Linked DNA regions of Drosophila melanogaster. The protein of the gene in region 1 interacts with the protein of each later gene in a pairwise test. Each region holds a gene or a part of one and is shown on either strand. Other genes may lie near its edges. The genes, in order: CG14853, Upf3 and spas.

Region 1 (9,536 bases):
CGCCGGCTGCGAAAGCCAAGTGCGAAGAGGGCAAATGAGCGAAATTGTTGGCGTTCTTCCTTGCAAACGGGCCTTTAATTGGCGAACGACATGCACCACGCCTCGAGGTATGCAATGAATTTTTCGGTTATTTATGCAGCATTTGCAGACAGCCATCGAAGTGCAAGTGTGTGTGCGTGAGTATTACTGTGTGCATGTGTATGTGCGTGTGTTTCGGCTGTCTGCTCCTTTCAATAATTGAAAGCGCTCGCAGTCAAGGACTCGAGGGTCGTCACTAAAAACAATACATTTGTTTTAATGCCCGGCTGTCGAATGATTTACTTATGAGGCTCTGGTTTCTGAAGTGCACGGGAAAAATAATGAATTACAAATTAATAAAAAATATAATAATTAGATTACCAAAAAAAAAGAACATCCTTGATAGTTAGAAAAAATCAAAATGCTTTGTTATGATATATATTGTATGCTCGTATATATGACGAATTGATTTTCAATCGTAAGCGTTTTTTTTGTGTGTACTTTCCTTTTGGCTGTAAAATCAATACCCGTAATTGAAATAATAATAACCATCTTGCAACGTGCTGTAGCCAAAACCAAACGGGCATGGCTTTCGCTGCTCACTGCTTGTTTACTGCTCCAAATGGCCCTTAATTGTATTTTATACCCAATGCATTGAATCCTAATTGCTGGCTCATGTCACCCGTCTCTGTCGCCCGGTGACGTGCTTTCTCTTTCTGTCTCTGCAAACAACACGTCAGTCAGTCAGTCTGCGATTTGTTTACTTGTCGGTTGATCCTTTCTGGCATTTCCAAATGTCAGACATGTCTGGCTCATCCTGTCACGCAAACTCAATCGCAGGACTGCAGCCATATTCCCAATCCTACGAGTATATCTGTATATATTTTTTTTTTGCTAATTTTCAGCCCAGACTTTTACAAGGTTGCGAAAAAGGACATGTTGCTCGTTGGGGGAACTGTTTTGGAAAAAAGCTTTTAAAAGTACTTTGCGACTACTCACCATGTGCCACAATTCTCATGACAGCTTTAGATTTCCTCTTTTACAAAAAACCCTTTACTTTTCCGCTCTTAAGCACTAACTTATTCAGTGGAGCTCAATTAACACGAGTGGAAAAACTAATTTCAAAACAAGTTTTCTTCTGAGTAATTCAACGTTTCGAAACTTCCTAAAGCTGTTATAAACTAAAGTTTCGCTTTTGTCAGTTTCGAGATTTCAAACCAACTAAAGAAACAAGGAAACAGTACTAGAATAGTTAAATTCTGATGGGAAGAGTGTTTATTTTCATATATACTTATTAACGTATTATTTTCCATGCGTTAATATAAAAATTGCGATTATTTTAACCTTCAAAAGCAGACAATTTGGTACGTAATTTATCGACAACTATAAATTATTGTCATTATGCTATCAACAAATTATAGCTTTTATGATAGTTTAATTAGTTTTTCGCAAGCCGCAATTTATGTGATTTTAAGAGCAGTTGCCAATTTGTCGGTATTTTCAATGACGTGGTAAGGAATTGAATAGGAAAACTTTGTCTATGATGAGACCACAAACAGGTGCTGGCTACGTACTCAAATCATTTTCATTTGCATAATTAAAATGTCTGCGGGCAAATTGAATTTCCATCCAAGAGTTGGCCGTACCTGAATTTAAACGGCAACCAACCCCGTTTTGTTTGAGCCAAATCTAGAGTCGGCGAACCGGAAAGTTATGTATGTACGTGAGCCACTTGTGCCACATAGTGAGCGTATGTATGTTGCAAATGCGTCATGGGGTCAGATGGCGGCCACAGTGCAGTAAAATTGCATAAAAAGCCATTGCCGTTACTGCAATTCGGTTGTCCAGTTTGAAAATGCGCCGAATAATTTATAACAAACACTTAAATGGGTTGACTGCGATACCAATCCCCAGCTAGGCCCATACGAATGTTTGCCAAATTGCCGGCCTGTTGGGGCTTATTTGAGCCAAAACAACATGCAATATGTAGTCGAAGTTCCATCGCCTGCCAACAACTAACTAACTGGCCAACCAAAGGAGCTGACACTACCGAATCCAAGGTCCTTGCCATTGGCCAATCACAACACAAGCCGTTAATGAGTTTTCCGCTTAATACATTTTTTAGCCGGCAAATAGTGCAAGCAAACCCATCTGGTCAGGCCAATAAATGCAGAGTAAAAAACTGTATGGGTAAAGCTTGGTATCAGCACATTTGCATACCTTTGCATATACTTTTTAATTATCTTAATAAACCTTCATATTTGATATCTATTTATATTTACAGGCCTTATGTTTAAACAAGGCATATCAAATTATAAATTGCTAATTTTTTGTTTAATACTCCTGTTTAAAGTAACCCTCTTCCAAAAGTATGGTTATTATTTAAAGCTCACGAATGTGCTACTTTAAAAACCTCAAAAACCTGAAGAATAAAGTTTGTTTTTCGTTCTGTGGTGTCGCCTGGCAAAATGTTGTCAATAAAAGGCGAATTTATGATAGAGTATAAATATGCTCATGGGACAGCACAGTCAAACGACTTAGCAAACTGCAATAACAATTCTTTGTAAATATTTTCTTCCTTTGGCTGAAAGCGTCCAGTCCTTGAAAGGACGTGGGCCAAATTGCATGATTATAATGATCGTCCCAAAAACGTTGTTATCGCTATTGCTGCTGTTGCAATTACGTTTGCGGCTCTTTGAGCGGCTGCCAAGCGTTGGCCATTTAACTGTCTTTTTTATTCGTTGCCCAAATATTATGGTAACAGTACCTTATGGTAAAGTACCTTTCCTATGCTTTTGACTGCTAACTACATAGTCATCGCAACTTTTGCTCTTCCAATCAATGTAAAGTGGCTTGTGTAAGCTTTGGTGACCTTTTATGCTTATTTTCTAAGCCCAGCAGAAATTGGCTTTAGAATTTCAAAGGAATCTGAAAATATGAGGAATGGATGTCGAAAAAATTCAATAAACTTTGACTAGTACTCTCATAAAATGACGGTCGATTGAATTGACAACCCATAACATTAAATATGCCAAAACTTTCCAAACTTTCGTAGGAAACTTGTATTAGAAAACTAAAAGTACTTTAATATTCGCCAGGGAAATCTTGTAGATGGCTAAAATTTCAAGTATCTACTTTAATGGAAACAAATACAACCCCATTTCAAGCCACGTCGTTTGGTTGCGAAGCTTCTCTCATATTTTATCGCTCCTTAGGTATTATAATATGGCAAAGAAAAAGTTTCTGTAGACCGAAAAACTTGTCTATAGAAAGTTTAATTTGCTGCCACCCGCCAACAAAACGCCCAAGGACGGACATTTGGGCGGTTCGCTGTGGTCATTGGCTTTGTATGAATTACAATCGATACTTGGCGGATGGGGGATGGTTATCTATTCGTCTGTGTCTAAACCGAATATGGTTTAGATCGCCACCGAAGCGGCAAATAAGCAATTATGCTGTGTGTAACATTTCCCATACGCAGCATAACTTTGAGTGGCAGCCGTACGCGGCGTATGCGCAATATTTTCCAGTTGCCTGTGGCTTTGCCATAACAATGCGGCTTTTCTCTGAAATTGTTCGCATTGTATTGCAAGGGTTTTTGTTTGTCGGTTCTGCATTATACCTAAACAGGAATTTATATATGCGAGCTACACATACACACTCTGTCTTTCAGATGCTTTCTAGCCTCCACTCGGCAGCCTGTCTTGTGCCATTCATTCATTCATTCACTCATACAGTGAGTCTCTTTTTCACCGACTCACGGCGCAAAAGTCACCCAAGTGGTAATTAAAATTATAGCAACAATGCGACGTCTTCTTGGCCAAGAAGATGATGAAGAGGATGAAAAAGCCGCTGGCTGACACAGAAAGCGAAGCCGAAACGCTGTCGTTTGCTAGTGTTTGTACAGGCACACACGCTAACAAGTTGCGGCTGCTTACATATTTGCTAGGAAAAGGACACACAAGACATACACAGCCCAGCTTTGACTTCTTGAAATATTTATGAGTGCCCGCCAACTCGACCCAAAGACGCTGGTGACAAGCCAAGAAGAGCCCGAAACAAAAAACCAGTGAAGTGATTGTCACAAACCCGGAAAATACTATATGCACTAAGTCACCAGTCTGCAGAGTTTGGCGCTTTAAGTGTTGCAAAAATTATTTTTCACTTTTAGACTTTTTGTTTATTGATATTAAACTGCAATATATGCGTTCATCACACTTCAATTTTAAATGTATTTTTCAAAATTAAAGTAATAAGAGAATGCACATATAATGTTCTATATTTTCAATTGGCAATAAAGGGGATATATTTTGTTGTTTCAATTTTGCACTCAACAAAAAAATAACCCCAAGGGTTATCCTTCTTATGGGGCAAAAATAATAGATGCCTATCTATCTATATAATTTTTATCAAATGGCAAGATTTCTACGTACTTAAGCCTATTACTTTTGTAAAACAAGATTAAATTGTTTAAGAAAGTAGTTCTAAAATGTGAATTCTTGTATATTTCTAGACAGTGAAACTGGAAGCTAACTAAGCAACATAAAATAATTAGACAACAACATCGTTCCATTATTTTCGGCCATAGGGCATTTCCTTTTGCCAGCATCTACATTTTACAAATATGTCGCATGAAAACCCAAGGGGTTAAGCTCCGCATTTCGAGGTGAAAATTTACATGGGCCTCGAGATGATCGTTTAGCACATCATTAAAAATGTGTTGCTGTGCAGAAAGTTTCGAGTGCTCAGCACTCTGGGGTGGCAACCGCTCTCGAGTGGCAGAAATAAATAATTAAAATATACAAAAATGCCGACCAGAAGAGCACACAATTCCCGCCAAGGACGAAGGTTAATGCGTGGATTCGTGGCGGTGATGTGGGTTGAAATCTGGCATCAGTTTCACTGGCCTGCTGACAGGGCAACTTCACCTACCTTCAATTATTTACGGTGTGCGGTGTTCCGTCCACCTGCTTAATGCATTTGCAGCCTCTCGGAATTTTCCCAGCTGTGGAAGCAGCAAGTCCCAGGATTAATTAGTACTGAGTCCCAGGACTTTCAGCGAATCAAAGATTCTGCGGCGTGGGTATAATGTAATTAACGTGTGTTTTCCTTGGCTTCTACGCAGTTGAAGCTGCAAAAATGGTTGCAAGTGTTTTCTTTGCATAAACTTACACACACAAAACACGTCCTTCGATTTTGGTTCACTGGTTACGCGCTAACATTCACAATTTTCAGATGCACGATTGTTTTTTATGCAAGTAAACGACAAACAGTATGTTTTACTTTTTAAATAATTTGTTGCAGCGGAAAATGGAAACGTTTTTCTCTGTGGCCAAAGAAAATTTGTTCCGCTTTTTTGCGTCGCAGTTTCGCTTAATTAACAAAGTCGACGACTGAACGAAATGTCCTTTTTATACACACTTGTTCGCTTTTACCTTGCTCAAGTAAAAGCTTTCGGCTCTCTCCCGCTCTCTTTTGCCAGCTTTCTCTCTCTCAACGCGCTTTGCTCTCACTTTTTTGAATACCCTGTATGCAGTGAGGGGTATGATGAAGTACTTTTCAGCTAATTTTTAATGAAATGGTTTTTTGGAGAGTTTTGTTTTCTCAGTAATGACCATACGTTCCTATAAATATATATACTTTAGATAATACATTGTATTTTTCTGTGTTTTAATACAGAATTATACAATGAAACAAGCCACTGATTGTTGCAACCCCATTTTTTATAACTAATTAGTTATTCATTTATTATGTATTAAATTATTTCAAAATTAAATGTTAGCATCTTTGTAAGTTTAATGGTATTTTGAATATTGTAAACCTTTCATATAAAAGCTCTGCTCTTACAAAGCTCTTTCTCTCTCGCTCTCTCTGTAACTCTATCGCTGTGTTACAGCAGAGAAACAAAACAAACAACAGAGCGGAGCGGATACGGAAATGGTGCAGGCCAAAGACTGATGGCCGACTGATTGTGGCCATGTTGTCTGCCCTCCGTCTCTGTGTGTGTGTGTTTTTGTGAAGGTATAGATTTATCAGTGTTAGTGTGGGTGTTCATGCAACGCGAGTGGCAAGCCAGCTGGGAAAAATACTATGCAGAGCGTACGCAACGGGAGCGCAGCGAGAGATTTTTGCGGCCCATTGAGTGTGAATTAAGAGATGCCGGCTTAGTGCGAATCCTTGCTTATACATTTATGGTATTCTTTTTTGTTCCTCAGCTACACTGCATATATGGATCCATGTATGCCCTCGAGTGGCGGATGCTGGAGGCAGCCCGACGAGGATGGATGCTGGGTACTGAGTACTCCTATGAGGTTTCCGCATTTCGCTTTTCAGCATTTTTGTGGCATGCTTTTGGGGGAGGAACAAAATTAAATCTCCCTGGTATTGGTGCAGTAAATATCATTTTTAATCTGAATATTAAATATTGTGATGTGTAATGCAAAGAATGCCATTTTGAACTCTTGAAAAAATGTGCTTGTGCTGTCCTTCAACTACGGTCCTTGCACATTTGCAACAATCAAAAAGGTCAAGGGATGATTGGTGCAATAATTTTTGTTTAAGCAGTGCTCCAAAAACTTCCATTACAATTTCCGACTGTCATAAGCTGAATTAATGCTATTCCTAATTTTTTTTGCAGCTAGCATTAATCCCTAAGCGGCCATTAGATTGTCAGCAGAAAAAAGATCTACAAGCATTTGTGTTATTTAACTCGTTCCACTTTTCCATTTCGCTTTTCTATTTGGGCGAAAGCGCGAAAAACTCATTCCAGTCAGCATAAATGAAAGCTTGCGTTTGTTTCCGAAAAAAGGGAAATTTACGTTGGCAGTTGCAATCCCGTTTTGCGTGTTGCAAGGGATTCCGCACGATTTCCTGTTCGCCACGGACACTTTGCCTCCCACAAGTCCTGCCACACCAAACATCACGTCCTTCGCACGTGCAAATGAAAATAGGTTTGACTTTGCTTATATATAAAAAAATTTATTGCGTTTAACTTTGCGGGTTGAGGAGTCGAGAATGAACGAGTTTTTCATGCTTAGCGGCATGCCAAAGGTGGGTATCTTAGCGCTAAATGGGGTGGGTATTCCTAGAGTTGAATGAATCGCGTTGATATGTCAGCTGCTTGGTTTGTTGGTATCGACTTAGGATCTATACTTAAAGGCTAGCGATATGTTGATTTGGTTGCTTGCAATCGTTTCACAAATGTACAATTAGTCGCTGAAACCGAAGACTACAGAGATAATACAAGTAATCCGAAGTGATCTTGAGACCTCTGATGTTCTAACTGTCCAATTTCCGTTTCAAAAACTTCAAAGGCCCAAGGCACTCTTTCGAATATCTTAAACATATAATTAGAATACCGATAACTAGTTCATACTCATTTTATCCTTTCATTTAGTATGCAATGGATGAGCTTACAGACTAAGCAAATATTAAGGATTTCGATTTCGATCAAAATTCAAATCTCGCATGTAAATCGAACGAATACCAATATATGAAAATCTTTCGAATCTTTCGATTACAATATGTGTCGTTGGGATGGCCTAGCAGTTCATGTAGTTTGGCGTTTCCTCCTCTGCCTTGGAGTCCTTTTCCGGAGCAACGTCACCCACATTCTGGTAGACCTCGGCCTGGACCTCGATGCTGCCCACCTGGGGACATGGTACTGGGATCTGCTTGGGTTTGAAGGAGCTGCATCCGCTGGCGGAGCTGCTCTTGGTTAGCTTGCCGTAGATGATGTTCGATCGCTCGTTCAGCTTAATGGGCTGCAGGGTGACTCCGTTCTGGTTTTGGTAGTGCTGTGTCTCCGCCTGCTCCTTGGCCTCCATGATGGTGTTCAGGTAGTTGCTGCTCTGGGATCCAACCAGTGGCTGGCTGCCGTACACGGGTATGTTCGAGGGGAACATTTGGTAGTGCTCGGATCCCGTGGGACTGGTGGGTGTGTTCAAGCGCTGGCAACTGGACATGGGCGAGGGGAATACAATCTGATGACGCTCATCACCGGGCGTTGAGCTGGGCGTAAAGACGGGTCTCGGTGTCGGTGGCACCATGTAGTTGTCCATCATCCGGCAGTGCGGGAAGCGACGATCCTCGTGATCCGAGTGGGTACCCGAATCTCCCAGCGAGGCACCACTGCAATTGCTGCCGGTGCTTAGTCTGCCGGAGGAGGAACTCGAGCTGGACACACTCTGTAGGCTCAGCGAACTGATGGGACGTCCAGCTCCTGCGCTGGAGCTCACGCCCCCCGCGGACTTGAAGCTACAGCTTGTGGCTATCGATGACTTGGTCTCGTCCAGCAGGCTGTCGTTTCCCCCAGGTGTCTTGGATCGCAAGAAGAACTTCTTGATCCGCTCGAAAGGCGTTTCGCGCTTCAGATGAGACTTCACCTGCTCCTGGATGCGCTCGTACTCGCGTCGCAGCTGGTCGATCTGATCCTGTTTCTCCCGGAAGCTCTGCTGTACATCGTTGCGGTGCTTCCAGCGTTCCACCAGCACTTCCACGTCCCGAATGGAGAGCACGTTGTTCTTAAAATCGTGCATAATCTCGGCCAGCTCATCGTCGGCATTGGATCTTGTGTGACTGGCGGCGGATGCGTCGCTGGCACTGCGCTTCAGTGTTCCATATCCGGGCTGTCTGTTGGTGCACCGATTTAACCGGAGGGGCTCCTCCACGGGTCTATTCGATGGCTGGAACAAATAGTTGCCATCATCCTGGGCCACCGGCACATTGGAGGGCTGCAGTACGTAGTCATTGCCCAGTTGGTTTTCCAAAAGTTGCGAGCACTCTTGGCTGAATTTGTCGGTCTGATAGAGTGGCGCCGCATCCACTTCGTCCAGGGATTTGCTCTGGTTCTTGAGTTCCTTTGGCTGCTGGTTCTGCTCTTTGGACTGATAGTAGGGTGGCTCGTTGATCCTCAATTCGTTGGTGGTCTTTTCCGGGCCAGGTTGATTGCCAGCCTCGGGCAGTTTCTTTTCAGATTCCACCTTCTTTTCGGCCACGGAAGCCTGCAGGTTTTCGTCCTCGGTTTCCACACTTATGTAGTTGAGATTCGAGATAGCAAGGGTTTCCGTCTTGGTCCTCACTTCAGGTGTGTTCTCCCGCTCCGATCCACTGGACATCTCCATATACTCCGCCGTGGGCAGTTCCTTCGGTGGCTTGTTGGTCTTTCCGGCCTTAACGGGATGTGCTTCAATCACCACATTGGCACTGGGCTTGGGACAGCTCTCGCCTGGCGGAGTCACTCCCTTGAAGTAGTGGTACATGGTGGTCAGTTCGTGAAACTCTGCGAAACTGACGATGTTCTGGGCCAACTTGTGATGCCCCTCCTGTTCGGCCAACTCGGCCGGAGTGCGTCCGGCGCAGTTTCTTACTCCGCATGCGGTGTCGCCACCTGGGCACTCCATCAGCTGGATGCACAGGCGATTCAGGCCCCATCTGGCGGCGAAGTGCAGCAATGTGGGGTACTCCTCTGGACTGGATTCCAGACGGGTGAAGAAGTGTGGCTGACGCTCGCTGGGACC
Region 2 (9,149 bases), on another chromosome or scaffold:
TCACCAAGCCGCTGATGCGGTCGCACTCCTCGCTGTTGTAGAACCAGAAGCCGCGGATGCGCGAGCGCTCGTTGCGGTAGAGCAGGAACGGCGGCTGCGACTGCAGCTCCAGGCTGCCGGTGATGGGCTCCACGAAGGACGTGGTGTTCAGTCGGTTGTTGATGAAGATGCTGTGAAAGGGCTCCGCGTTGCGGTGGTATATGAAGAAGGCTCCCTCCACATCGGTCTTTTCCCACTCGTTCTGCGACGAGTTGAACGTGTAGAAGGCGACGTGCGAGGACGAATCCACGATCTCCTTGGCGTACGGGTCGATCTTCTTGATGGCCGCCAGGTTCATTCGCGTGATGCTCTCGTCGGCCATTGTAAATTGTATGTAATCTTCAGTTTTGGCTGTGCTATTGCGAATTGCAATTATTTGTGAATTTAACGGCGCTCTGGTCACACTGCCCCGTGGATGTTTTCCCGTGTTTATCAACGACTGTGCTGCGGTCACACCGAATGACAATAAACTCTTCCTTTTGTCTATTAATGATTTGTTTGAGAAATATTAAGTCGATTGACTTGCATATAAAAATGGCCACAATTGTACGTAATAATATTTCTCAATTATGTAGCATAAACATTTAATTTATGTTTACTAATAAAATTTTCAACTTCGATAGCATTTCCATTTCAATATATCGATACTGAAGACCAGCTCTAGAAACTGGCGGGAACTAATTGCATTGCAATTTGTATTTATTTGAACACAGAATTGCCACAAAATGCAAAAGTCTATAACGTAATTTACGATTTAACAAATGCTAAGTATTGCCAATCTAACAATCCCCCGTTTCAGCTCCTTCTTCAAGAAGAAATCCGATGCCACCGACAGCCCCTCGCCGCCCAAGAAAGTTCCTAAGTAAATGGTGCCGCTGTTTTCTTGTTTCATTACTAAATTCCTCGACAAATCATAGGATTGATGCGAAGACCGAACTCCCAGATGAACCCCACATCAAGAGCGAAAGTGCCTCCCCGGAAACTAAGCCCAAGGTAGAACCTATGTCTGTGGATTCCGAGGAGAAGACAAGTCCGGTGAAAAATGTTAAGAAGGAACCAAAGGAAGTCGATGACAAGACCACTGACAAGAAGGTCACAACCATAGGTCTCAACTCCACTGCCGCTACTAAGGAGGATGTGGAAAACTACGATCCATCCGCCGACTCCTATCATCCGCTCAAGAATGCCTACTGGAAGGACAAAAAGGTGTAAGTAGTGCAGGATTTTGAGCCTCCAAGGCGAATTATATCAAAGGAAACACTTTCCAGCACTCCCTACTTGGCACTGGCCCGCACATTTCAAGTAATCGAGGAGACCAAAGGCCGGCTCAAGATGATCGACACGCTGAGCAACTTCTTCTGCTCTGTGATGCTGGTCAGTCCGGAGGATCTTGTGCCCAGCGTCTACCTCAGCATCAACCAACTGGCGCCCGCCTACGAGGGACTGGAGCTGGGCGTTGCCGAGACCACCTTGATGAAGGCCATTTGCAAGGCAACGGGGCGTAATTTGGCTCACATTAAATCGCAGACGCAGCTAACCGGGGATCTGGGCATCGTGGCCGAGCAGTCGCGCGTTTCACAGCGCATGATGTTCCAGCCAGCGCCTCTGAATGTGAGGGATGTGTTCCGGAAGCTACGCGAAATAGCCAAGCTATCCGGTCAGTCGAAAATGGACCTGGTGTACAATATGTTTGTGGCCTGTCGATCGTCGGAGGCTCGCTTCTTTATCCGTTCATTGATTGGCAAGCTAAGAATTGGCATTGCAGAGCAGAGTTTGCTCACAGCGCTGGCCATTGGTTTGGTGAAAAAGAACCACATCGATGATTGCAAGGCTAGCAAGGTGCCGGATGTGTATAAGGATGAAATAGTCGACACCACTTTGCTGTTGAAAACTGCATACTGGTAAGAACTAACTTAAGAACCAGCTAATAATTCAGATGCTAACGAACTTTTGCAGTCAGTGTCCCAACTACGATATCATTATACCGGCCATTCTAAAGTACGATATTAAGGAGCTGCAGGAACGCTGCCCCATGCATCCCGGCATGCCGCTGAGGCCCATGCTCGCCCAGCCCACCAAGGGGGTCCATGAGGTATTTGAGAGATTCGGCGGCATGCAAATCACCTGCGAGTGGAAATACGATGGAGAGCGGGCCCAAATCCACCGCAACGAGAAGGGGGAGATCAGCATATTCTCGCGCAACTCCGAGAACAACACGGCAAAATATCCGGATTTGATTGCCAGGAGCACTGCCTTGCTCAAGGGCGACGTAAAGTCCTACATCATAGACAGCGAAATTGTGGCCTGGGATGTGGAGCGCAAGCAGATTCTGCCGTTTCAGGTGCTCAGCACGCGCAAACGGAAGAACGTTGATATCGAGGAAATCAAGGTCCAAGTCTGTGTCTACATCTTCGATCTGCTGTACATCAATGGCACTGCTCTGGTGACCAAAAACCTGTCGGAGCGTCGCAAGCTCCTGTTGGAGCACTTTCAAGAGGTCGAGGGCGAGTGGAAGTTCGCCACTGCTCTGGACACCAATGACATAGACGAAGTGCAGCAGTTCCTGGAGGAGTCTATCAAAGGTTTGCCCTGCCAACCAACCTAAAAGTTGTTTACTTAAGCTTTATTTCACTAGGAAATTGCGAGGGCCTCATGGTCAAAACATTGGATGAGGAGGCCACCTATGAGATTGCCAAGAGATCCCGCAACTGGCTGAAATTGAAGAAGGACTACCTATCCAATGTGGGCGACTCACTCGATTTGGTGGTCATTGGTGGCTACAAAGGCAAGGGCCGGCGAACTGGAACCTACGGAGGATTTTTGCTTGCCTGCTATGACACCGAAAACGAGGAGTATCAGAGCATATGCAAGATTGGAACTGGCTTCACTGATGAGGACCTGCAAACGCATTCCGAGTTTTTGGGCAAACATGTGACCAGCGCCGCCAAATCCTACTACAGATACGACCCCAGCCTGGAGCCCGATCACTGGTTTGAACCGGTCCAGGTGTGGGAAGTCAAATGCGCGGATCTGTCGCTCAGTCCGATCCACCGAGCAGCCATTGGCATTGTGGACGGAGAGCGGGGCATTTCCTTGAGATTCCCTCGGTTCATTCGGATACGCGACGACAAGAATAGCGAAAACGCAACGGACGCCAATCAGGTGGCCCACATGTACCAGTCGCAGGATCAGGTTAAAAATAATCAAAAGTCGAGCACACAAATGGAGATGGAGGACGAGTTCTACTGACCGGTCTGCTCCAGCCATGTGTACACGATTTATTTAACAATAAAAGTCTGTTATCGCTATTTGACGCTGGTGCTGCTCTCGGAGGATTTGGAGAAGCGACGAGTTTCGAGCTCACACTCCTTCACCTCCTTCGGTTTGGGTTTGTTGCGCCGATTGGGGCGTTTGTTCCTCTTCGAAGTCTTCTCCTCCACCACGGAAGCCTCTCCATCCGAGCCATCTTTGCCGCCTGCACCTTGGGGCAGCTCATCTGATGCACGAATTCGGGCTTTGGGCTGGTAAATGGCAATCGATGGTCGATCCTGTAAACATCAAGCGGGTTAGTAAAATGTCGAGGGGGGTAATAGGTGAGACCCACTTTATTCCGAATGCGCCGCTCCTCTGAAGCTCGAAATTGAGCAGCCTTGATGGCTTCCTCTGCAGTTTCGTGGGCGGAACCTGCTGGCTGCTTGTCTGCGCCGGTTCTTTTTTCCTTGCGACCACCTCTGGCAGCCGGTGTAAAAACCTTGACAGCAGCTTCTGGTGTCTCGGTGTTTTCAGTCGCAGGCTTTTCTTTCGAGGCCTCCGCAGCGTTAGAAGTGGATGGCACGTCCAAACTCTCGTTTGATTCTGGCTTGTTTGCTTTCTTCAAGATAACGATGTCCATGGACTTTGAATTTTTGTTCTGCTTGCCGCTGGATGGCTTGCCTTTGTCCTGTTTGTCCTGTTTGTCCTGCTTGCCCTGGCCGTCATCCTTTTTCTTGTCCCGCTTGACTAGCTTACGCTGTTCGTGTTCCTCGCGTCGCCTCTGATCCCGCTCCGTTCGTCGTTTGGAGCGCGAGGCCTTGGCATCATTGGCTTGGGATCCAGATGACTGCGGATCTTTGACATCCTTTTTGGCTGGCTTCTTCGTGTCTCCTCCTCCGCCGCCTCCTTCGGCCTCCTTAAGCTTGCTGGCGTCCGACTGCGCTGCCAATCGCAACAGCTTCTGCTCCTCGCGTTGCTTCCGCTTCTCCTCGTTCCGCCTGCGCGCCTCCTCCCGGCGCTTCTCCTTCTTGTTGGCCAGGTACTGCAGGAGGGGTGTAGACTTGACCTTCTCTTCTGTTCGCCGTTCGAAGTTGAAGTCGATCTTGACGTCGCCCATGCGACTCGCCTCCTCGCGCTCTTGGGCCAGCCGCTTGATGAACTCCTGGTAGTGGGGTTCGCTCTCGATGGTGTTCACCTTGCTGTCGTCGTTCCTGGCCTTGTTCTTAAGGAAGCACTGGAAGGGAGCATACTCCACGATGGCCATGTACTCGACGCCCTTGTGGTCGACGAAGACGTAGCCGTCGAAGCGATCCCGGAACTGCACCACCTCGCCTATGTCCTTGGAGGACATATCGATGTAGGCGCGACAGGTGGCCTCCTGGCCCAGCGACCAGTCTGCCTTGCAGTAGTAATACGAGTCGTTCTCCGGCAAAGGACCCACCTGATCCAGGAACTGCGCCTCCGTCATGGTCGGCGGCAAATGCCGCATCACAATCTGCAATGAATGCATTAGTTTCGGAGGATCGTGGGATTAAGACAGTCTGGACGGTACCTTAACGATCTGATTGGTCTTGTCCTTCTTGTCCTTGCGCCTGCTTGCCTTGGACTTCTCCTTGGGCTTTTCCTCGGCAAAAGTTTCAGCCATTTTCTGTTCCTTTTTATTTACAAAAATCAAAACAAAGCCGAAAAGCCAACAAATGCAAACATGATGTGGAACCGATAGAGATGGCACTTTCGGCTCGAACTAGAAGAAATTCTAAAGTTCACAAGTGGAACCTATATCCAATTATTCTAGTAAAAAAAAATAGATTCTATCAAAGAAGTTAGTCACTTAGTTAGTTAGCCAAATATTAGGAAAGTAGAACTTGAAATATCTGTGCCATTTCTGGCAATTACGACAAGGCTCTGGTATCTAGATCTTTGGAACTAGTTCTTTAAATCCACATTGCAAGAGCGCTTTTTTTGACCGGTACGCAGATATCATGCTCAACTTTTAAACAGTTTCGACTGTTTTGGCACATTAAATGCTCGAATTGAATGAATAAAAGGAAACTTGGTCAAGGTAATGAGTAAATGGACATTCTAGAGAGCTTGACACATGATGCAGTAACATCGTTTTCAGGAATCTGAGCATTGCAAAATGATGGCGCCGGTAGATCCACCAGTGGGATCCTTTCTGAAGTGCTTCGTCTGCGTCTCCGATGAGGGCAGGACTTGGACAGAATTGATACAAGGTTTCACCAAGGAATCGGACAAGGTGGAAAAGAACCTTGCTCACCTGCAAACGCTTCTGGAGAAAGCACATGTGAAGCCCAGCGTGATATGCAGAGGCTGCAATATGCAGCGATACTGCAGCCTGTCCCATCTCGTGGCGGATCGTCAAGAACACAAGCCACTCTGCGAGGTGCTGAGGGATCTGCAGAAGTCCATGAAGATCGATCACCCGTTGAAGCTGCTCGGCCAAATCACCGATCGCAGGAAGCTTCAGCTCGTCATTTCGCAGCTAAAGATGGTCCTGCTGGCCAAGTTGGGCAGACCACTGAATCAGCGGGAGCATCAGCTAATCGGCAACCCAGCCGTGTGCGATGTGTGCTTCAGCACTGAAGCTCTCGAGGACTGTGAAGGATGTGCCGGAGTGGCCTTCTGCTCCGCGGCACACCAACGCCTAGTCAGGGGCTATCACACCCCGGAGGATTGCCAGACCCTGGCTCTGATTGCCACTCCGTTTCGTCAGTTGAACTGTCTAGTGAATATCAAGGACTTCTACCGCAGTTGCCCACTAAAAGAGTCTAATCTAATCAAGGCTTTCACCGAAGCCACCGACATACGGATCAGCGACACTCCTTGGACCGATCTGGAATCGTACCAGCTATTCGCTACCTGTTCCTCCTTCAGCGGCATCGCAAGTCTGTGCCTGGCCCTGTCGCACATTTCCTGGGTCCCAGATCCGAATAAAGCTGTCATAGTCTACGTGGCCGGCGCCACCGAGGACACTTTGCGCTACTTCGAGGACATGCACCTGCGTTTTCTGTTCCTGCAGTACCCAAGCATTCGTAATCTGGAATTACACTTCATTGGAAGAACCGTTGGGCGCATCGACCAAGTGGATATCAAATTCAGCGACAGGAGCTTTGAACAAACCGTGGTGAAATGCTTTTACCCCCTGTCATTTTCACAATATTCCTGTATTCTAAATGTGGATCCCACCTTGATTCTCATCATGCAACCCGATTTCTTCGGAGTCGGTAAAGTAACCCAGAGAATTTCTAGGTATATGAAAAGGAAGGTTCCACTCGAAAACGAATGGAAGCCTTGCTTGTCAAGTGTTATTCGATCTTTTGGTGTTCCCATTTGCTACACTTCGATTTCAAGGGCTCAGGCAATTTCCGATTTCGCGGCCATCACATTGTCCGCTGAGAAGAGCAAGATTGCCATCGAGAGAGCCTACAATATAATGGGCAATCCCTATCGTGAAATATTGCCACTGCACAATCCAGCACCAGAAGATACCGAGAGGATTGTGTATGCCAATAACTACCTCGAGGTTATTTTCACAAGCAAAAAAAAATGCCAATGACTACCAAAGACTATATAAGGCTTAGTTTAGTACACATAATACCTTCGACAATACTGACATTTGTTATTAAACAGCTGCTCGTCAAATACATATTCTAAGTTACCTGATTACTGCCACAAGTATCAAGTTAGATGCATTAAAACTACCCAAGACTGTAGAATAACTACAATTAGTTGATAATATCGAGAACAGTATTCAGTTTCGAACGCGGCTTTGAATGTCGCCCTTTAATTTAAACATGTTTGTTTATCCATTTACATTTTTGGTAATTCTTTAAGAATAAATTGTTTAACTAGTTGATAGCCTACATTTGTAATAAGTATAAATGCTCAGTTTCTCAATGCAGCCACTTAACTCTACGAGGAAAACGGTTACAATAACTTCAGAAGGGTTCTTTTTAGGATGTGGAAGCTTTGATCTAGAATGTCTTCTTGGAAATGACAACAATTAAATCGATTAACCAATAGAACGACTGGTGGAGATCACCCTCGCACAAGTACGGCGCCTTGGTCCATGCCTCCACGCGGTAGCCACAGTTCTCCAGCAGCTCCATAAACCTGGCCGCCTCCTCCTCGAACGACGCCTGTCGCCCGTTGTTCTCCAGCAGCGGGCGCAGCGGCAGATGCGAGGTATTCGTCTCCACGTAGTGCATGTAGGGAAGTACTAAGGCCACAACTGCTCGACCATTGGGAGCTAGTGCCAGGTGAATGTCCTCGAGCAGCTTGAATGAATCGAAGCAGCGGTCCAATACGTTGAGGCACAGAATCAATTCCAGGTTCTGCAGACCGTCTATCTCGGTGATTACGTTGAAGTTCAGCTTCTTCAGCCGATCGCGCATGGTCCAACTGGCCTCGGTGGCGAAGACCCGCAGCCCGGCACTTCCGCTCAGCTCGGAAACGGTGTTGGCCACGCGCAGCGAAATCTCACCGTCCCCGGCTCCGATATCCAGCAACGTGACCTACGATATGATGGCAGATGAGTAGTGGTCAAGACTAAAGGCTTTTACTCATCTTACAGGTTCTTGACCGCTGGCAGGCTGAAAGCCGCCTGCTACTAGCAGCTTGCGAAACTGTTCCTCGGACAGTATGAACATGGAGCCGCGCTTCAGGAACCCGTTGATGTCCGTCTGGGTCATGAAGAACTGCAGGATTGAGCGAGCCAGGGCGTGCCACAAGTGGGTCCAGATGTTTGCCGAAAGCGCCTTGGTGCGCTCCAGCCAGCTCACGGTGGTGGCATCCGGCTCGAGCGGCACGAACTTGGACTGGAATCTCGGCGGCAGCTCGTGGTTCAGGCAGTACCACTGAAATGCATCCAGAATTTAGGAAAAATCATATTGTTTCGGGATTTCGAGTTACCTTCCGAGTGTCTATGTCCTCCAGAGAGTTGTCGTTGTGGAATTTGGCGTGGATTACCCTGGCCAGGGTGCCGCGGGGACGATACACAGCCATGCTAACAGAATAGTCTATAATTGTGCTTTTATTTACATTTTCTACTTCTGTGTGTTTAACTTAGTTGTGCCATCATTTTTCCAGTTTGAAGAACTGGAGTACGGTATTTTTCCAGGGCTGGATTGCAGAGTTGCACTTTGATCAGCTGAATGCGATTGGTAAAGGTATATCGATATGTAGGCGTGACAGCCTAATGTAAGTGTATTATTATTTATAATGTATAATTTCAGAAATTAATTAATTAATTTGTAGCCGCATAAAAAAAATTAAAATATGATGTTATATTTGATTTGCCATTTAAAAGTATAAATACTTTGTAATATAAGGAAGACTTTTATATTTATATCTAATAATTGTACTACTCGCTCTGCAAACGAACGCACATCGTTCTCGACAACATTGACGCCTGTTCGATAACATTGGGGCGCGATGCACGTTGACATTTTATTTAGCTGTCGAGTAATGTATACAAAATAAGCGGCGGCTATTTTTTGTTATTTTAATGAAACGCATCAATCCGCGATGAGCACGAACGTTGTTGTGAGCATGGAGGAGAAGGCGGTGGCCGACGACCTGCCGTACTTCCCGGAGAAGTTTCCGGGCAAGGTGTGCTGTTTATGCAATCTCGGCGAGAAGAGTGCCTTGGGCCAGGGCGAGATTCTACAACTGAAGGCGCCCGCGCCCGCCGAGATCAAGGATAAATATCCGACGGATCGGCTGAGGGAGGACGGATCCAGGCTGTTATACGGGCCTAAGCAGGCCGCTTCTAGTTCGGGCGATTGTCACTACGAGCTGGACAAGATTGGACAGCCGGACGTCGTGCATCCCGCCGA
Region 3 (11,590 bases), 9.4 Mb from region 1:
CATTAATTAGTTCGCATTTTAGACGACGAAGGTAAAATTTTAGCGACGCGTTCAACGTACATTTGCAGCCCCTAACAACTTTGAAAGTTTCGCAAAATTAATACAAACCGGTAGCGGCTAAACTTGACCGTCAAATGAAGTGTGCGAACAGAGTGCAGAGCAAGTAAAATGCGGTAAATTTACAAACGCAGCCACGTCACAGAGAGCGCATTAAAGAAAAAAGAAGAGAGTGCGAATTTTGACAGCGAAATTCGAGTCTGAACAATGGACATTAAGCGAATGCACTATAGTGCGGCGGGGACGATAATTGTTAAGCCCAGTTTTCGGCACCGCTGTCAGGCAGCAGGGTCGGGGCGGAGGCGTGGCGGTTGTTGGTGGCGGGGGAGCGGCATTAAAAGATGGCAGCACAAAAGCGAACAAGATACATACATATACGTACATATAGCGGCAAGCTGAAAAGGCAAATGAAAAGTCCCGCATTCAAATCGTCTTGGTATTGGTATATTGGCATTAGTTTAAATACACTCAATAGCCAAAAGCGGAAAAAAGCAAAAGCAAAAGAAAAGTGGAGACTCATGTGAGGAAAACGCAAACAAAAAGACCAGCGCAAGACGCCTCTCTCTGCGTGTGTGTGTGTGCGTGTCGGTGCTAATGTGTCAGTGTGTGTGCGAAAAAGAGACGAAGAAAATAAGCAGCAAATGAGCAACCAAAACCACCCCGCCATTCCCTTTTCGCCGTCTCTTCAGTTCTGTGACTTTGACTGACATTTTCTAGCGCCGCCGCCGCAGAAATAATCAAAATCAAGTTTAGTTCTATGCAAATTAAAATTTGATTTCGCAAAGTGTGAAGAAGAAGAACACGAATCTAATGCAACCGTGTGTGTCACCCGCCCGCCGGTTTCGCAAAATTTCCCACATCTTTCTCTTCCTTTTCCCTGTTTTTCTTTCTCCTCATTTTGTTATCGACGGTCATTCATCTTCTAGTCGATTTTCGTCGTTCTCCTTTCGCCCTCGTCTCGCTGGCGTGCCTGAGTGTGCATTTCTGTGTGCTGTGCGTGAGTGGCCCAAAAAAAAATTTGTAAATGTGAATACAGAAATATATTAATTATAAACTAAATCATTTTGCAAGGCCCGCAAATTTGTTGCGAATGAATGGCTATTGTCAATTGTTGGCCATTCGCTTTGTTATAAAGACAGGCAGTCTCTTTCCCCTGTCCTTTCCCACCCGCCTCTCTCGCTCCGAAGATAGCTCACTCACTCTCCCCGTGTTTTTCGTGTGCGCCAGTGTGTGTGAGCGTGCGTCTGTGTGTGCGTGTCCCTGCACTGCTTTGCCGCCTTCTTTGTTCCCATCATGCGAAAAGGGGGCGGGGCGGGGTAGTCGATTTATATCCATATCATTTGCGCCTGTTTTAAGGCCCACCGATCATGTGCCATTAGACCTTGTCCCACTCTTCCGGTTATCAGCGCAAAACTAACCCAAATTTACCTCTCTCTTTTACAGCAGCAACGATTCCAGGGGTCAGCTTCGAAACCCGAAAAGTACACTCAGCCTGCGAACTTTCACGCTGTTTAACTTAGCTAACTAATTTTTGTACAAGAGCAAGAATAAGTAGTCGCAACCAAGTATTCATATGTACATTTATACAATCCTGTATATTGGAACGGACAACTATTTATAATCACAACAACAACATCCGGATCATCGAAGAAGGATCGAGCAATTCTGAAATACCAAGTAGTGTACACCAAGAAACCCCGAATCCAAATCCCAGGCCCCCAGGAAAGGAAGTCAACCGATTATAGACATATATATTAGGCGACTAATCGTATATTCCAAAACACTCCATTAGCGTTTAGTTAGGACAGATATATTTATACGTATACATATAGATGTTTAACGAAATTTTCAATTAGGCGCCAGATTAGGAACAAAATAAAGCAATAAACGACGAACCTCAGCGTTAAGCAAATAGATCAACCTACCTAGATTGAGCATATAAAGTTTATATAATCCAAAAAAATCAAGCCAAGCCGAGAGTAAGTCGAAAGTAGTAGAAAATCAAAGTATTCAAATCTCTCTTGGAGTTTCCTGTTAGCAGCTAGCACCAATTAGATTGCCGCAAATACACCTGTTTAATTAGCAGACACTTTAGATTTTGTACGTAGCTAGGAACTTAATCTGCAAATTTTTGATACATCCCCTTCCGATTAATGCGGCCAGGTGCAGTAGTTGCAATTCCGGTTTTAGTGTAGAGTCAGTAGATTGTCGCTGTAGCCTAGTGTATAATCAGATCAAAAAAGCCACAGTCCCGTGACATCCGACAGCCATGGACGAGTCGCAACCGAAGACCCTATACGTGGGCAACCTGGATAGCTCAGTGTCCGAGGACCTGCTAATTGCCCTCTTCAGCACCATGGGGCCCGTCAAAAGCTGCAAAATCATTCGGGAACCGGGCAACGATCCATATGCCTTCATCGAATATTCCAACTACCAGGCAGCCACAACAGCTCTGACCGCCATGAATAAACGCCTATTCCTCGAAAAGGAAATCAAGGTAAGCTGATTAGCTTCTCTTAAGTTATCAAGTGGACAGCGGTCATTTTCATTCATTTTGTTCGAAACTACACTCTTGCAACACACACATTCCCCACGACCAAGCCCTCATGTTATTTTAATTATGTAGAACTTAATTGATTATTACCTATTAAACGAATGCTCTTCGCAGGTCAACTGGGCCACCAGTCCCGGCAATCAGCCGAAGACAGACATCAGTTCGCACCACCACATATTCGTGGGCGACCTCAGTCCCGAGATTGAGACAGAAACACTGCGCGAGGCTTTCGCCCCATTCGGAGAGATCTCCAACTGTCGCATTGTGCGCGACCCTCACACCATGAAGTCAAAGGGTTACGCCTTCGTGTCGTTTGTGAAAAAGGCGGAGGCAGAGAACGCCATCCAGGCGATGAACGGCCAGTGGATTGGCTCGCGCTCGATACGCACCAACTGGTCCACGCGCAAGCTGCCACCACCACGCGAGCCTTCCAAGGGCGGAGGCCAGGGAGGCGGAATGGGTGGCGGACCGGGCAATGGGTCCGGTGTAAAGGGAAGTCAACGCCACACCTTCGAGGAAGTGTATAACCAGTCGAGCCCCACCAACACCACCGTATACTGTGGCGGATTCCCGCCGAATGTCATCAGTGACGACCTGATGCACAAGCACTTCGTCCAGTTTGGTCCCATCCAGGACGTGCGGGTCTTCAAGGACAAGGGCTTCTCGTTCATCAAGTTTGTTACCAAGGAGGCAGCCGCCCACGCCATCGAGCACACGCACAACAGCGAGGTACATGGAAACCTGGTAAAGTGCTTCTGGGGCAAAGAGAACGGAGGCGATAACTCGGCCAATAACCTCAATGCCGCCGCTGCCGCGGCAGCAGCCTCTGCCAATGTTGCCGCCGTTGCGGCAGCCAATGCTGCGGTTGCCGCTGGAGCGGGTATGCCCGGTCAGATGATGACGCAGCAACAGATCGCCGCCGCAACAGGAGCGGCGATACCCGGCCAAATGATGACACCCCAGCAGATTGCGGCGCAGTATCCATACGCGTACCAGCAGATGGGCTACTGGTATCCACCTGCGGTAAGTGTTGTATTCTTTAAATACGCAGTGACCTAAAGATTGACCCTAACTTTGTGCTTTTCTGCAGACTTATCCCACAACCCAGATGCAGACGCAATACATGCAGCAGGGCTACTATCCCTACGCCTACCCTACCAGTGCTCAGCAAGCGGGAGGAGTCCGTAAGTTTACTTTTCTCAGTTGCTGAATAATCGTGACCTTGGCTTAAACAGCTTGCATACAATTTTCAGCGGCTGGATACCGCATGGTGCCGCCGAATGTAGCATGGGGCGTGCCCGGAACTGTGGTGCCCGGTGTGACGGCTGCCGCAGCATCCGCGGCCGCTGCAGCGAACGGATCACTTGCCCCCCAAATGATGTACAGTGCTGCGATGCCACAATACCAGACCCAATGAGCTGAGATGTGACGCCAGCTTCGACGCCGTTTGCAGCATCCGGGAAGTCGCCCCCAGCCGCAGCCACAACCACCTCTGCTGCATCAGCTTCCGCACCTGCAGCAGTTGCAAGCGCATTACGCACGTTTAGGTTACGTACAATACCGAGTAGTAGCAAAGTCGGAGCCGCTCCTGGCCATGCCGTTGACCAGCGGCAGCAGCCACATTGACGGTGGCAATGTATCTGGAGATTATTAAGGATGCGCGAGTGTCCACTTTGAAGTTGTGGCTACGGTTGCGGCTGACTGCGGTGGAAGGAAGCGGAATCGGGTGTGGTATATAGCCCCCCAAAGTCGAACGTTAAGGCGGTGCGTGGAGCTCAACTTCAAGTGATCCACGCCGGCGACAACTGAAAGAACATCAATTGAAAAGCTCCGGGCGATGGGCGGGTAGCTGTAACAATCTAATCCAATCTAAGTACGTGTTAAATTAATTTAATGATTTCTAATTTAAGCAGATATAGGCGTATAAACGAAACGGAAATAAAATAAACCGAATGAGAAATTCAACAAAAACAAACAAATAAAAACTGAAAAGAGAAAATGCTAATTACGCGCGACAGAGTTAAAACAAAAAGAAAACAATCGAAACAAAAACGTGACAAAGCAAATTGTAATTGTAACTATGTGGAACATGTGTCAACGAAAACTGAAGACGGAAAGAGGGTAGTTTCAGTGGGATGAAAGGATAGCCGCAAGCAAGCAAGCCGAATGCAAAAACAAGAGGAAAAACAAATTTAGTCACTAAGAGAATGTAAATTCGAGCATACATATTGTATATTTCCAATGTGGAAAACGAAATGCGATATAAATATGTAAAATGTAAAATAAAGAAGCAAAAAAATATATAAAACAAGTGAGAAAACGAAGGGACGCTGGTTTTTATATTGAGGTAATGAATTAGGATGTGGAATTATTATTTCAAACTTTAATTTATATCATTGATGATAGAAGTGGTTACTACTACTACAAATCTGGTGGAGGATTCAGCGGAGTCTAAAATATAGTTAAAAAGTAATTAACTTTTACAATTGTGCTAAAAAGTTTTCTTAAGGTATAACATACATACATGAATGAATTTTATAGCTTTAATATTCTCTAGTGAGACGCAGTTTTTCTGCGAAACTAGTTTTCATGAATGCTTAATTCTTCTGCTTACTTTCTCTTAATTTAAATGCACCTGGTGATGTCAGCCGTTGCTCAATTCTCAATACACTACCAATGGTTTCCAATAGCTTAGAATTTTGTTGATGATTAAGAATGCAATTGATGTTTCTTGAAATCGATTTTATTTAGCGTATTCTATAGATTTCTTTATATATATAGTTTTATATGCATGTAGTTTTTTTTTGTATCTGTGTTTAGTAACTAGTCAAAGAACTCAAATTCCGGGTGGGCGAGCTGCGTTGAAGCTGGTTCAATGTGTCGCGATAAGCGACGGGCATGTGCGCGGGTGAAGATGTATCTGATCGATCTGATAACACCAGATCCATACGCACCTGCTAGGTACAACATTTTTGGGTGTGTTACTAATAATATAGGTGAATCGGAGACGATTGTATTTATGGCTGTAGGTACATAGATTGAAACAAAGGAACTAAACTAGACTAACCATACGGACAGTGATAACTATTAAAACTTAAATACGATTCTGCGCTGGTAAATGTATCTTTGTGGGTGTGTATAAGTATATCATCGGTCTTAGGTCTACGCTTACTTCTAGATTACATGTAGCTTGTGGATGGGCACTCAATGTACAACAAAAATATGCTTTATAGTTCAAGGATACAATGGAAGTAGTTGTGAACTCCTTGGGCCGCCTGTCTTACAAAAAATCACTACGGAATGTTTCAAAAAACTAATTTATAAAGCAATGTGGCCTTGAATTACTATCATAAACGAAGATAGGGCAAACCTACTATTCTAAGAACTCCAATGAAAAGTACAGATCTTAGAAATATATACCATGAGTATGAGTATAACGATAATGGAGCTGCATGGCAAATGTTGCACCACATGGACATGGTGGTTAAACAACGAAAAAATACAATACAATGTTCTTAGGCTAAAACACCAGAAATAGCTGGGAAACAAATCATATTAAATAACTCACAGGTAAATACAAATGTAACAATGTTTGTGAAACGAAAAGTCTACGGATTGAATAGAACCTTAAGGGCGAAAAACATGGGTCACATAATCAAAACTAGTGTAACGACAATGGGTTGCGCTCTGAGACTCACATCACAGCTTCTCCAAATTGGATTGATGAAGGAGGGCAGGATCATTGGCTAGAACAGACTAGATGGTGATGTCGCCATAATCTTGCGACCACTTCTCATATGAGTTGAGGCTTTGCGGCGCCACCGAGCGCCTGATGCGCTTGAGCGAACTGTGAAAGTCCTGCTCTGTGATTGCACGCATTGCACTGATGTCCAGACACTTCACTTGCTCCACATTCAACTCTCGAATGGGCTCCAATGCGGCGTCCTTGGCCAGTGCCGTTAAGTCGGAGCCCGAGTATCCGTCTGTTATCTTTGCAAGGCGACGCAACGCCTCGGTATCCAACGGACTGCCTTGCTTCTGGAGCAGTCGATTGAGGAGCAGCTCGCGGGTTTGCTCGTCGGGCAGTGAGACGTAAACGCGCTTTGTGAACCGACGCAGGGCTGCCTCGTCCAATTCCTGCGGTCGATTGGTGGCGGCCAGCACCACGATCCTGTCTCCGTCTGGATTTCCAGGCAGCCCATCGAACTCCACTAGAAACTCGGTCTTTAGGCGACGCGATGCTTCATGCTCGCTGCTGCTTCGCTCTGAAAGCAACGAGTCCACCTCGTCGATGAAAATAATGGAGGGCTGCATGTGACGGGCCACGGCGAAGAGAGCCCTCACCAGTTTCTCGCCATCCCCCACGTACTTGCTGGTCAGCGAGGCAGCCGAAATGTTCAGGAAGGTGGCACTACACTCAGTAGCCACGGCGCGGGCCAGCAGTGTCTTGCCATTTCCGGGAGGACCAAACAGCAATAAACCCTTAGCCGGTGCACGAAGCCCTAAAAAGGAAGAAGATTGGTTATGGTGACGGTTCTAGTCGCAGAATAACCAACTCACCCGTAAAGAGTTCCGGTCGGACGGAGGGTAGAATGACCATTTCCTGTAGAGCCTGCTTGGCCACATCCTGACCGGCAATGTCAGTCCACTCCACTTTGGCCCCACCCTCGACGATCTCGTCGAGTATAAGTTGCACCAGCTTCTGTTCCACTCCCTTCACACTAACCACCGGAGTGCTGGCGCCACTGCCACTGGGTCCGTTGTTGTTTATGGGAGTCCGCGAACGCTGGGGCGGCGTATTACGCCCCGAAGACTGTAATATGAGTAATTTAGTTTAATTAGTATTTTAATTTCTGAGTATTTGCCAAATGTGTAAAAACAAATTTAGTTTACTTATCAGATACTCACAAATTGTCGCCGAACGGCGGGAGGCGTTGCAGCTGTCTTGGCTGGTTGCCTTTGGACTGCGCCTACAGATGTTTTGGAGCCAAGGTTGCGGGGCAGCGTTTGTGATTTGTTGGCCACGGCCAAGTTGACGGGTCGTTTGGATCCAATTGTCAGTTTGCGGCCAGATGCTGTGAACGAATTAGCACAATCAGAGATGGATAATGCGGAAGAATATACTCTTTTACAAGTTTACAATTTGGCCAATCGAAATAAAAAATTCTAAGAAAATCAAGTGCCAAGTGAGGTGATAGGGATTGACTAATCGATCTGCTTATGGTGGCTTTGCGCTGGCGTGTGAGGATCTTGTTGGGTGCGCGTTAGCTGGTGAGGAACTTACCAGTGGGTTGGGCACTGGTGGTGGCCTTGGGCCCATAGCCACTGCTGCGCACCCTTAGTTTCATTGGTTCGTTGGTCATTCCTGCCAGCATGGGCTCCCTGGTCTTCTGCGGCTTGCTTTGAGCCTCTTCTTTCTGCTTCTCCTTTAAGGAGAGGCGCTGCATTTGCAAATCCTGCTCACGCAGAGCTGCGCACCGGATGAACATGTGCATATGGACAAAACGGAGGGGACAACAAAAAAGCAGGGGAAAACGTGCAAAATGAAATAAAAAAAAAATGAGGTAAACAAATCCTATGTTTTAGGGGTATAGGAAATATGACTGGTCACTTACCTAGAAAATGGAGACGATCCCGCGCCATCGAAAGGTTTGTCTGCATCTTGTCGTGCAGGCGCTGAGCCCGATCCCACACATCACCACGTCCACTCCAGCAATCGACAGCTATGCCATCCTCTAGCTCCTTGATACCTTTTCGGTAGAGCTCAATTGCCAGCTCTTTGTGACCTGAATATATAGAATAATATTATTTTATGTTTATTTTATAACTATTATGTTCAATCAAGCTCGCTTTCCTCTTATAAATAATTTGACAAAGAGTACGCTTATATGCATTAGAATTTAAAAATCGCATGCTTGGAGAACTTCCACTCCATAAAAGTCCATCAAGGCAGACAACCCTACTCCTGTTGACATTTGGGGCATCCATTGTGCGCGCGTTTTGCCTTATTGATTCTCACACTCGACAGACAACAAAAGCGGACAGCGGGCGATGACTCATTGAGCATTCGAGCACTCGAACTCGAACTGGAGCTGCCACCCCCGTCGCCGAAACTCACCTTCGTTCTCCTCATCAATTTTGAGCGCCTTGGAGATGTACTCGAAGGCGCGTCGATGGTGATGCTTCTGCTTGGCCAGCAATGGATCGCCGGGACCAGGTGAATACCCTCCTCCCGGACGATTGGCGGCCATCTCCAACGGTTGAATGGGCCTGAAACGCTGTGGCTGATTGGATAACTGCTGTTCCTGTCCGTCACCTTCACGGTTCAGCTCCGAAGGATGGTTCAACGACTGCTGTTGCTCCTTGGAGGAATTCTGCACCACGATTTCAATATTACAGTCGCGTCGGTGCGGGCGGTATATCACCTTTGTGCTCGCACCGTATAGGTAGCGAAAAATACAAAACAGCTGATAAATCAGCGAGCGCAGAACGTTGAAAAGAAAGATTATGGGGAACGAGACGACGTAGAGGTTCTGTTTGTGCACAGAGGACGAGTAGCCGCCGTACGAATGGTGGTGGCCGCTGCGTGGGGAGCACGTTGTGGGGGTCAGGTCATCTGTGGTGGTGGTGTCGTCGTCGCCGTCGGGTGAGCTGCCCGGACTACGGCGATTCGATGAGGAGCCTCCACCGGCGGCAGATGAACCGCCGGCAACAACGGCAGCAACGTTTGAGGCGCTCGACGAGCGGTGAGTGGACTGGCGACCACCGAGTCCTCCGCCGGATGATCCTGCCCCGCTGCTGGACTTTATTGGTGACTTGGTGCTGCTGCTGCTGGCGCTGGAGGAGGACGACTGGTTTTTAGTGCGTACCATCGATATCGATTCCGCGCTGTCTGCGCGTCCAGCACTCCGGCCCCCTGCTCTCCTTGCCCTAACCCCGTGAAAGTTGCACGGGGAAATTATCCTTGTAAGCCAAATCGGTTGGCCGTGGCACGCGTTTGTATCGATGCCGCACAAAAAAACAAACAAATCTCGAATATTATTGTTGTACGTCGTTTGAGCTAGTGCTCATTTTGCTGATATCCGAGAGTACTGATTTTCTTCCGCACTTACAACTCTCACTACGTTGAAAATTGAAGCTAAGCTCTGGAGTCCCAGCCAGTGCTGACCAACTATCGATTACCAAATCTAGCGGGCAAGGTTGTGAAGTCAGACAAACAGGCAATTTCAAAGTTTAAATGGTGGAATGTAACGGATGAAATATAATTTGGGAGACTTTCACCGAAGTGCAGTATGGAGACATTCGTAATTGAAGGTAAGTTTGATTTATTGCCTTGTTTATCATTTCCTTTTTGTTTATACGAATATTTTTAACAGAAAACATTTTGTGTCCTTTACAACATCCTTAACGGTTGGCTGATTTAGCGGAAAAACGCTAACTTGTCATATCGTAGAGATCCAGCTGTCAATAAAGTTACCAGACAGTTTCGGATCCGATGTTTTTGGATGGAAATATTTAAATTACGTGATCAATTTTAAGCAACTGATCGAAATAATAGTTTTGATTTGTTAAATTCGTAGAATTCAAACACAATTGCCGGAAAATTGGGGAAAAATATCGCATTATTTGGCGGTCGCCTAGTGTGGCAGCCCTGGTAGCTGGGTTGCGATATATCGACCTTGATACACCTACTGCCATCCCCATCACTCTGGGTTGTTTTTTTTTGCGTTTTTGCATAACAAAATCCTAGAATTTCGGCCTAAACGCCAGCGATCTCTGACCAGCAGAGCACGAGCACAGGAGCGGCATATCTCACTTGGAGAGCAGTCGGAATGGGACAGTACACGGCGTCGCAGCGCAAGAATGTTAGGATCCTGCTCGTCGGCGACGCCGGGGTGGGTAAGACGTCGTTGATTCTGTCTCTGGTCAGTGAGGAGTACCCGGAGGAGGTTCCGCCTAGGGCTGAGGAGATTACCATTCCGGCGAACGTGACGCCCGAGCAGGTGCCCACCAGCATAGTTGACTTCTCGGCCGTGGAGCAGTCGGAGGATGCCCTGGCCGCCGAAATTAACAAGGCGCACGTGGTGTGCATAGTGTACGCCGTGGACGATGACGACACTTTGGATCGGATCACATCCCATTGGCTGCCGCTCGTCCGGGCCAAGTGCAATCCCTCCCTGGACGGCGAGGGTGATGCCGAAGCGGAGGCGGAAGGAGACACACAACGAGAGCCCATTCGGAAGCCAATCGTTCTGGTGGGTAACAAAATAGACCTCATCGAGTATTCCACCATGGACAGCGTGCTGGCCATCATGGAAGACTACCCCGAGATTGAGAGTTGCGTGGAGTGCTCTGCCAAGTCGCTGCACAACATCTCCGAGATGTTTTACTACGCCCAGAAGGCTGTGCTGCACCCGACTTCTCCCCTGTATATGATGGAAGAACAGGAGGTAAGTGCTTCCGGAGTGGATCATAGGTCGCAACTATATCATTGCGCCGTAATTGGCGGTTTTGCGATAGGTAATCAGCTTGTACTCTTCTAATAAAACTTCGCATTTTCAGCTCACATCCGCCTGCAAGAAGTCGCTGGTGCGCATTTTCAAGATCTGCGACATTGACGGGGACAATCTGTTGAACGATTACGAGCTGAATTTATTCCAGCGACGCTGTTTCAACACACCACTCCAGCCGCAAATCCTTGATGAGGTGAAGGCCGTGATACAGAAAAATGTGCCCGATGGCATATACAACGATGCGGTCACCCTGAAGGGCTTCCTCTTCTTACACTGCCTTTTCATTCAGCGGGGAAGGAACGAGACAACCTGGGCGGTGTTACGGCGCTTTGGCTATAACGACCAGTTGGAGATGTGCCAGGAGTATCTTAGGCCACCGCTGAAAATACCGCCTGGCAGCAGCACAGAACTCTCGCACCGCGGACAGCAGTTTCTGATTGCCGTGTTTGAGCGCTATGATCGCGAT

The links.
Region 2: the proteins of CG14853 (region 1) and Upf3 interact in a two-hybrid assay, tested with the Drosophila melanogaster proteins (one large-scale study listed by BioGRID).
Region 3: the proteins of CG14853 (region 1) and spas interact in a two-hybrid assay, tested with the Drosophila melanogaster proteins (one large-scale study listed by BioGRID).

The regions. Positions count from the first base shown.
Region 1 is NT_033777.3:14,605,522-14,615,057, reverse strand, and holds the start of CG14853 (uncharacterized protein), read right to left. Parts: upstream 5,417-9,536; 5' UTR 4,951-5,416; intron 1,246-4,950; exon of another isoform or gene 1,018-1,245; intron 1-1,017. Other genes in the region: stumps, read right to left, coding at 7,560-9,536.
Region 2 is NT_033778.4:23,889,832-23,898,980, forward strand, and holds Upf3 (Upf3), read right to left. Parts: upstream 5,157-9,149; 5' UTR 4,937-5,156; coding exon 4,844-4,936; intron 4,787-4,843; coding exon 3,644-4,786; intron 3,588-3,643; coding exon 3,345-3,587; 3' UTR 3,289-3,344; downstream 1-3,288. Other genes in the region: DCP1 (decapping protein 1), read right to left, coding at 1-361; DNAlig1 (DNA ligase 1), read left to right, coding at 765-781, 839-901, 957-1,247, 1,308-1,940, 1,996-2,621, 2,675-3,288; CG17658 (uncharacterized protein), read left to right, coding at 5,432-6,868; CG5339 (uncharacterized protein), read right to left, coding at 7,287-7,826, 7,884-8,168, 8,224-8,316; Lpt (lost PHDs of trr), read left to right, coding at 8,839-9,149.
Region 3 is NT_033777.3:24,036,402-24,047,991, reverse strand, and holds spas (spastin), read right to left. Parts: upstream 9,778-11,590; 5' UTR 9,484-9,777; coding exon 8,730-9,483; intron 8,398-8,729; coding exon 8,227-8,397; intron 8,082-8,226; coding exon 7,896-8,081; intron 7,687-7,895; coding exon 7,520-7,686; intron 7,425-7,519; coding exon 7,172-7,424; intron 7,114-7,171; coding exon 6,368-7,113; 3' UTR 5,338-6,367; downstream 1-5,337. Other genes in the region: Rox8, read left to right, coding at 2,327-2,554, 2,726-3,634, 3,702-3,795, 3,847-4,028; Miro (mitochondrial Rho), read left to right, coding at 10,444-11,061, 11,174-11,590. UniProt on the Drosophila melanogaster protein: ATP-dependent microtubule severing protein. Stimulates microtubule minus-end depolymerization and poleward microtubule flux in the mitotic spindle. Regulates microtubule stability in the neuromuscular junction synapse.